Linked DNA regions of Callithrix jacchus. Each later gene encodes a partner of the first gene's protein in a complex. Links are inferred from orthologs where the notes say so. Each region holds a gene or a part of one and is shown on either strand. Other genes may lie near its edges.

Region 1 (4,518 bases):
CATCACAGAAACATTTTTTTCTAGCTTCCGTCTCAACCTATAAAGGACAGGAGGGAGAGAACTGCAAAAACTCAGGGCTCTGCTGGTCTTTAATCCTTGCTCCTGTCATTCTCTCATCCTGACCTGTGTTCCTCAAGGGCTCTGGTGATATTGATGTTTGAGATGACATCCCCATACACCAGAATGAAGTCAGAGTGCACCAAGGCCTTGGCATCAACATCACGGAGGACATCTCCCAGTGATCGATACAGTGCTGATGTAATTATTCGGACCACGTTGAGAGATGTGGGGCGGCACCACTTGGACTTCCTAAAGGGAGAAGGGTGAGGGGCATGAGTATATCAAGCATAAAGATCATAAGTGCCTTTGCTATTTTTCTCCCCCATTGAGCATTCTCAGTCCTTTCGGGCGGCATTTTTGGGTTCTTGCCAGCGTCTTCAACTTCAAAGAGAATTATGAACTATAATTAATGCTTTCAGCATCTGGTGTTCACCAGTCTTGTTTTTTTTTTTTTTTTTGAGACAGAGTCTCGCTCTGTCGCCAGGTGCCAGGTTGGAGTGCAGTGGCGCGATATTGGCTCACTGCAACCTCTGCCTCCCAGGTTCAAGCAATTCTCCTGCATCAGCCTCCCGAGTAGCTGGGATTACAGGCATGTGCCACCATGCCCAGCTAATTTTTGTATTTTTAGCAGAGACAGGGTTTCACCATGTTGGCCAGGATGGTCTCAATCTCTTGACCTCGTGATCTGCCCACCTCGTCCTCCCAAAGTGTTGGGATTACAGGCACGAGCCACTGCGCCTGGCCACCAGTCTTGTTTTATGGGTTAGGAAACATGGTTATTTCCTCTCCATACCTTGACCCCTGTCCCCAAACATCGATTTGAACTCAAAATCCTGCTGAAACGTAGAATACACTAAGTACCCTAGGAACACACTTCATGTCGGCTTTCCCCTTCTGCAGTCCATATAACATTTAGCAACTGTCTGATAGAGACCCTGCTAATGTCCTAGTCTATATTTCCTGGATTTTCATAAGTGATGAGACTCCCTATTTTTCAAGATTTCAACAAACATGTAAGTGCTCACTGCATGCCTGGCACTGACCTAGGCAGTGGAATACAAAGACAACAAGGAGCTCATTTATATCCTTGCAGGTGAGAACAAACAAGATTTAGAAACTCAGCAGAAAAACAAAGATGTTATTGTTGTAACTTCCATACTGAAGCCATTACATAAAAGCCAAGTCCACTGGGACCAAACTGTGTAAGTGACATTCAGAAAAAAAAAAACAAAGTTTGTTCTTTAAACTTTGTCACAGAAAACCCAAGACAGACAGATACAAGGTTTCAGCTGCTCACCTCCTGATAAGCATAGAAAATACCCTTAGAACTTAACAATGACATTTGAGTAGACAGTTTTCCCCTCTCACATTTCCCCTTACTTAGTTACATTCCTCCTGAAAAAACTAGAAAAAGATGGCAAAATATGCAAAGAAATGGTGCAGGGCCTTACAGTAAATGTTCTTTGATTTGAGCAGCTTTCGAGCAACAGAAGACAAATGTTTCCTTTACACCTGTGGCAGTCAGGAATTCCAGAGTGTAGTCAATTAACGCCACATTGGCCAGGGGCAAGAGGACCTGAAGGACAGAAGATGGAAAGAAGAATGAGTTCTCAAATCCCTCTGGGTACCCCACCGCAACAATTTTCACTCTTAGGTCAGTATTTCCAAACAGTGTAGTTTTGCTGTATCTTTCCAATTCAAAGGTAACAGATTCCTGCCATTGATGTTCAGGCCATGCTCTAAGCCTGAGTCTGAGATGTTGCAATTTGGGGATGGTAAGTACAGAATCTACGTGCCTTGTATCTGACACAGAGCTGTGACAGAATGGCAGTTCACCGCTGGCAAAGGGCAATACTGGAAATCAATCATATTTCCATAAATTTAAGGACTGCTAAGGCCTTCCTCCCCATAAGATTTCCTTCCTTGATCCTTTTCTAAGAGTCGGAGGTTAGCCATCTCCGATCACTTTTCAAAAAAGAACAGCCATTAGCCTTTTTCGAGGGAATCAGGGAGGATTTTCCTTAAATCTAATGTAGTTCCCTCTCTGAACTGAGGACTGCTGAACGACCCAGCTGAGTCCAGTTCCCCATTGTCTAGACAACTCGGGGGCGATGGCAAGATGGCAATCAACCACTAAACCCATTTTGTCCTTTCGACAGATGGCACTATCATTGAACCTGGAAGGAAAAAACAAAAGTACACTGCCCGAGACCTAGCCCCCTCTTTTTAAGGCATGATTACAGCCCTTTCAGAGGCAAAAGGTCGTTTCTTTTCACCTAAGCATCCGTCATCTGCAAGGTTAAAAGCGGCGCTGCCTCTTCTAGGGGCACTGAATCCCCGCGTGAAGGCTTCTCTCAAGTGCTGTTTCTACATTTAGCTCTTTCTTCCTCTCAAACCCGAAGTGAACAGCATTACGAGTGCCCCAAATCTGCCAGCCACTCACTTGGTCAGCAGCCACCAGGGTTTAGACAGACCCTCTGCCTCCTTCCTAACCACATAAACTCGGTTTTAGGATAACAGCATGGACACAAGTCCTTCAGGGGACTTGTTAGCTTTACTAGTTAGCCGAAAGGAGAACTTGCTCCAGCCCCGCCAACCTCCCTGCCCTCTGGCTGCTCGCGTGCGCGGGGCTCACCCGAGGCAGGTCCTTGGAGATGGGGAAGAAGCGGCGATCGAAGCTATCGGCCACCAGAACTGCTTGCAGGGGCGGCGTCGGTTCCTCCTCCGCCCCTCTGGCTCCCCCGCCACCGCCGCCCCCCGACCCCGCGCCGCTGCGCTTGTTGGCCCGACTAACCAACACACCAGGCGGCGCCACCACAGGGGCCGCCATCTTCTTCTCCACGGCCACCACTTCCGCAAGGAAGCTGACACCGCACGCAGTAGGGGACAAAAAGATCCTGCACCTGAAAGGCGAAGGACTAATTAACGAAGGGAAGGAGGAGACGAGGAGGGAGCAGTGCGCATGCGTCTTTTCGGGGCGCCCACTGGGATCTGAGGTTGATTCCGGAGGCGCGAGGAGTGGGGACGGGTCACAGTTGTCCCGGCCAGTGGAGGCGCAGGGTAGGGGTGGGGTCCCATAGACGTCATACTCGGTCTGCAAGTATCGTAGGCCTTCATTAGTATGGGAACAAGCCGAGATTCTTGCGGCGTGATAGGATTTGTGGTCGCCGCGAAGGGGCCAGCGCCATCCGGAATCTGTAAACGTCCAGCAGTTTCCCCGCCCCACGCATGTGAAATATGTAGCCCTCCGCATTCATTCTAGAAAATTCTGGGGACCCAGCGCCTTGGGGAGATGGAACCGAGCCAGATGTCCCCCCGCTGCAAGAAACCCACAACCTGCATAAATAGAGAAAGTGGCATATAGTAAGGGGACTAATAATTCCATTGAGAGCTGATTGTGGGCCAGGCATGATACAAGCATCATCTCATTTAATTCGTCACATATCTCTGCAAAGCATCTTATTCATTCGTTCAGCAAACATTTCTTGAACTCTCAGAGGGATGAAGGACATTTACCCAGCTAGTAAGCGGAAGAACTGGTATTGGAACCCTATGTGATTTTAGAGTTCCACAGTCTTGCTGTCAAGTTATGTGGGGATAACAGTGGCTATTTTGTGTCTTCATCTATTCATTCATCCAGCCTATCAGCCTCCTGTGTCTTAAGCAGAGCGGAGACGCGGGTGGATCTAGGCACACCAGTAAGTTGTACTGGAGTTAAGCAGGAAGATTTCCCGGCAGAGGAAAGTGCAGGCGTAAAGGCCCCAGGCTTGAGAAGGAGCACCAGCACCTTATTCTCTTTTGGGGAAAGAAGCGGTGGCTGCAGGGAATAAATCAACTCTGCAGAGGGGCGGGACCGTGGGAAAGCGGCAGAACTAGGCAGGCAGCCTGGGCGTCATTTAGGAGGCAAGGGGCTTTTCTGTAACGCATCGCGCCCTTTCTGCACGGAGCCTGTCCAGGGTCCACACCACAGGCTGCTGCAGTTCCTGCGAACTGTTCCCATCCAGCCCCGCGCTGCACGTCGGGATTTGGAGTCCGCGAGGCTGAGACTTGTTCCCACGTGGCGATTCCGACTTAACCCGTCGTGCTCCGGCGCCCGACTCGTGGGACCGACGAATCTGTCATTTTTTCCCTCGTTAAGGAGCGGAACGAAAACCATTTGATTTTGGAAATTTTAGCTTAGAAAAGTAAAGGCAGAAGGCAACTAAGTAAAAGTTTTCAGTTAGATGAATGGACGTTGTAGAAAAGGAATGTGCAAATCCAGAGGTAGAAGTAGAGGGGGGGGGAAAAGGAATAGGACACACACACATTCTCTCTCTCTCTCCAAATCTAGGTCTTAAAATTCTGTAGACTGGTAGCTATATGGATATGATTTTTATAGATAAATCTCAGGAAGACTCTCTCAAACTGTTATTTTTTGTTGTTAGAAATTTACTTGAGGCCGGGCTCGGTGGCTCATGC
Region 2 (3,812 bases), on another chromosome or scaffold:
CTTGATCTGCCACCCAGGCTGGAGTGCAAGTGGTACCATCTCAGGTTACTGCAACTTCCACCTCTGGGGTTCAGGCGATTCTTCTGCCTCAGCCTCCTGAGCACCTAGGATTACTGGTTCTCGCCACCATGCCTGACTAATTAAAAAAATTTTTTTTTTTGAGACGGAGTTTCACTCTTGTTACCCAGGCTGGAGTGCAATGGCGCGATCTTGGCTCACCACAACCTCCGCCTCCTGGGTTCAGGCAATTCTCCTGCCTCAGCCTCCCGAGTAGCTGGGATTACAGGCACGTGCCACCATGCCCAGCTAATTTTTTGTATTTTTAGTAGAGACGGGGTTTCACCATGTTGACCAGGATGGTCTTGATCTCTTGACCTCGTGATCCGCCCACCTCGTGATCCGCCCGCCTCGGCCTCCCAAAGTGCTGGGATTACAGGTGTGAGCCACCGCCCCCGGCCCTAAAATATTTTTAATAGAGACAGAATTTCACCAAGCTGCTCTTGAAGTCCTGACCTCAGATGATCCGCCCACCTTGCCTCCCCAAGTGCTGACATTACAGGTGTAAGCCACCACGCCCTGCCCATCCTTTGACTCTTAAGGGTCCAGTGGTCTTCATAATAACATTAGATGTGGTGAATGTTATATAGCACCAAAGAGAAATTAAATTCCAGTCTGAGGCAATGCTTGCTAGAATCAAAATGACTATATCTTTACATTGTGAATGTTATGCAAGAGCCTTCACTTTGTGCCTTGGGTATAGTAGGTGATAAGTGCTGCACGTTAGATGTTGATGTGTATGGGGGGGTCCAGGAGTGATTATAATTATAGTAAAGTTGCAACATTATTTGGCAATTTGATGTCAAATAGATTCTTTCTTTTGAATGTTACATTTTAACATTTATTTTTTAAATTACATCATTGCTGTAAATCAGAGAAGAGTACTTTCAGTTTAAATCATTAAAGATTGGTCAGGCGCAGTGGTTCATGCCTCTAATCCCAGCACTTTGGGAGGCCCAGGGAGGAGGCTTGAGGCCAGGAGTTTGAGACCAGCCTGGACGGCATATTGAAACCCCATCTCTATAAAAAATTAAAAGAATTAGCCAGGCGGCTGGGCACAGTGGCTCAGGCCTGTAATCCTAACACTTTGGGAAACCAAGGTGGGTGGATCACCTGAGGTTGGGAGTTCGAGACCAGCCTAACCAACATAGAAAAACCCCATCTCTACTAAATATACAAAATTAGGCAGGTGTGGTGGCGTATGTCTGTAGTCCCAGCTACTCGGGAGAGGCTGAGGCAGGAGAATCGTTTGAACCTGGGAGGCAGAGATTGCAGTGAGCCAAGATTGTGCCACTGCACTCCAGCCTGGGCAATAAGTGTGAAACTCCATCTTATTGAAGAAAAAAAAATGGAATTAGCTAGGCATGGCGGCACCCACATGTCCCAGCTACTCCAGAGGCTGGGGCAGGAGGTCGAGGCTGCAGTGAGCCGTGATCATGCCACTGCACTTCCAGACTGGGCAACAAAGTGAGAGCCTGTCTCTAAACAAATAATTTTTATGGCTGGGCACACTGACTCATGCCTGTAATCCTAGCACTTTGGGAGGCCGAATCAGGTAGATCACCTGAGGTTAGGAGTTTGAGACCAACCTGGCCATCATGGTGAAACCCCATCTCTACTAAAAATACAAAATTATCCGGACCTGGTGGCCCATGCCTGTAATCCCAGCTACTCGGGAGGCTGAGGCAGAAGAATCACTTGAATGTGGGAGGCAGAGGTTGCGGTGAGCCAAGATCGCGCCATTGCACTCCAGCCTGGGCAACAAGAGTGAAACACCATCTCCAAAAATAAGTAAATAAGTATTTATGACCTTTTACTGTGCCTCTGGTCTGTGGTAGTTTCTGTAAAGAGATTATTTTCAAAGTCAAATAGGTTTATTACCTTGAGTTTGAAAAGCAGGAATTAACAGTTTGGTTTGTTTTTAATAATTGGGTTCTGTAAATCTAGGTTCAGATATAGATATCTTTAATAATTGGAGGAGTAAGAAGGTGAGCCGATGGCTGAATTATTGGAGGAGACTTAAGTCATTTTATGCTTTTCAAATGCCTAACATGCTTGTGTTTCTGCTGTTAATTCTAGTAGTCAGACATCTTTTAATATTTTCCTTCTTTTTTTTTTTTGAGATAAGATCTTACTCTGTCACACAGGTTGGAGTGCAGTGGTGCAATCTTGGCTCACTTTAATACCAGCCTCCCAAGGCTCAAGTGATCCTCCCACTTAAGCCTCCCAAATAGCTGGAACCACAGGCATGAGCCACTATGCCTGGCTAATTTGTTGCATTTTTGGTAGAGATGGGGTCTTGCATGCTGCCCAGGCTGGGCTTGAATTCCTGAGCTCAGGTGATCCACACACCTCAGCCTCCTAAAGTGCTGGGATTACAGATGTGAGACACCTTACCCAGTGTAATATTTTCAAAAAATAAAAATTCACACATCAGAAGCCTACTCGGTAAACTCTTAGTCCTTCAGAGTCAGCTCAAGCATCCCTTCCTGTAAAATCTTCCCTGTGTTTTCAAAGAAAACTAGGTGTTCACTTTATTGTATGCCCATTGCATCTTTGATATATTTCATCTGTGGTACTAATGACATATATTGTGATTTACTGAATTTGTCTTCTCCACTTAATTGTAAATAACTCAAGGGCAAGGGCCAGATTTTTTTTTCATTCATATCCTCCCACTTTTACCAAGGATAGAACTGAGAATATATATTGGTAGACATAATGTTTATCTGCAGCTAAGCTTTTCTTACTCTGATTGCTAGAGTTGGGAGTTATACATTTGACATAGTGGGTATCAGTAACCTAAATAAAAATAGGCTAGTAGTGTGTGTGCTTTGATTTTTGTTACATTGGTTTTTTTCTGTTAATTGTTTTTTCTGTGTTTTTTCTTGTAGCTTGTAAAAATGGAATTTCAAGCAGTAGTGATGGCAGTAGGTGGGGGATCTCGGATGACAGACCTAACTTCCAGCATTCCCAAACCTCTGCTTCCAGTTGGGAACAAACCTTTAATTTGGTACCCATTGAACCTGCTTGAGCGTGTTGGATTTGAAGGTGAGCTATGACAAAGTGAGCTGTGAACTCATAAAACTTTTAGGGGATTTGATCCCCATGATTTGTCAGCATTATAATAGTGAGAGAGGGTAACTAGAATTCATTGACTGAAGACTGGCCTCTTTAAATAAGGAATGTAGGAGTACTCTATTGCTGTGCGAAAAAAGGATGAGAGGATAGCACTAAGTGTTGTTGTTACGGAGCTGTTGTCCACTATGATCCAAGATGAACCCTGTACGAATATCAGAAAGAGCAGATTGTGACTCTTAAATGCCTCATAGTCAGTAGTTGATGAGACTCTATTATGTACTAGGTAATATCTCTATTATAAAAAAAAACTTAAAACATATATATATTATGTACCAGGTAATAGAGATACTATGTACCAGGTTATCTATTAAGCATGGAGGTACACAGAATTGAAAAGACAGCTCAGGCCCTGACTTCTAGAACCTTAAAATCTAGTGATTCTTTCTACTTTTGCTTGGGTAACTAGGTAGATGATTATGCCATGAAGTAGAAAAAGGAATAGGAAACAAGGAACAGATTTTAATGAAAATAATGAGTTCAGCTTTGGTCATATTGAGTTTGAGGTGCCCTATATTTAGATATAATAAATCAGGGTGCCAAAGCCTGAGGCCTAGTCTTGTGATCCAGTATTCATTCCATTATTAGAGTTGCCTCCAATAGGAAGGGGTGATAAC

What was found.
Region 2: the proteins of EIF2B5 (region 1) and EIF2B3 are in contact, whole or in part, in a cryo-EM structure (PDB 7VLK), measured with the Homo sapiens proteins. The link is inferred for Callithrix jacchus from reciprocal best matches to the Homo sapiens genes EIF2B5 and EIF2B3. Residues at the interface, in NP_003898.2 of Homo sapiens: Pro190, Val202, Arg222, Arg223, Phe224, Ala225, Phe226, Pro227, Leu228, Phe231, Gln232, Ser234, Ser235, Asp236, Gly237, Val238, Glu239, Val240, Arg241, Tyr242, Asp243; in NP_065098.1 of Homo sapiens: Arg155, Phe157, Glu178, Glu179, Leu180, Val181, Ile182, Lys183, Gly184, Leu187, Gln188, Pro191, Arg192, Ile193, Arg194, Phe195, His196, Thr197, Gly198.

The regions. Positions count from the first base shown.
Region 1 is NC_133516.1:13,119,802-13,124,319, reverse strand, and holds the start of EIF2B5 (translation initiation factor eIF2B subunit epsilon), read right to left. Parts: upstream 2,921-4,518; 5' UTR 2,891-2,920; coding exon 2,696-2,890; intron 1,637-2,695; coding exon 1,512-1,636; intron 310-1,511; coding exon 124-309; intron 38-123; coding exon 1-37. UniProt on the Homo sapiens protein: Acts as a component of the translation initiation factor 2B (eIF2B) complex, which catalyzes the exchange of GDP for GTP on eukaryotic initiation factor 2 (eIF2) gamma subunit.
Region 2 is NC_133508.1:81,690,049-81,693,860, reverse strand, and holds part of EIF2B3 (translation initiation factor eIF2B subunit gamma), read left to right. Parts: intron 1-2,951; 5' UTR 2,952-2,960; coding exon 2,961-3,108; intron 3,109-3,812. UniProt on the Homo sapiens protein: Acts as a component of the translation initiation factor 2B (eIF2B) complex, which catalyzes the exchange of GDP for GTP on the eukaryotic initiation factor 2 (eIF2) complex gamma subunit.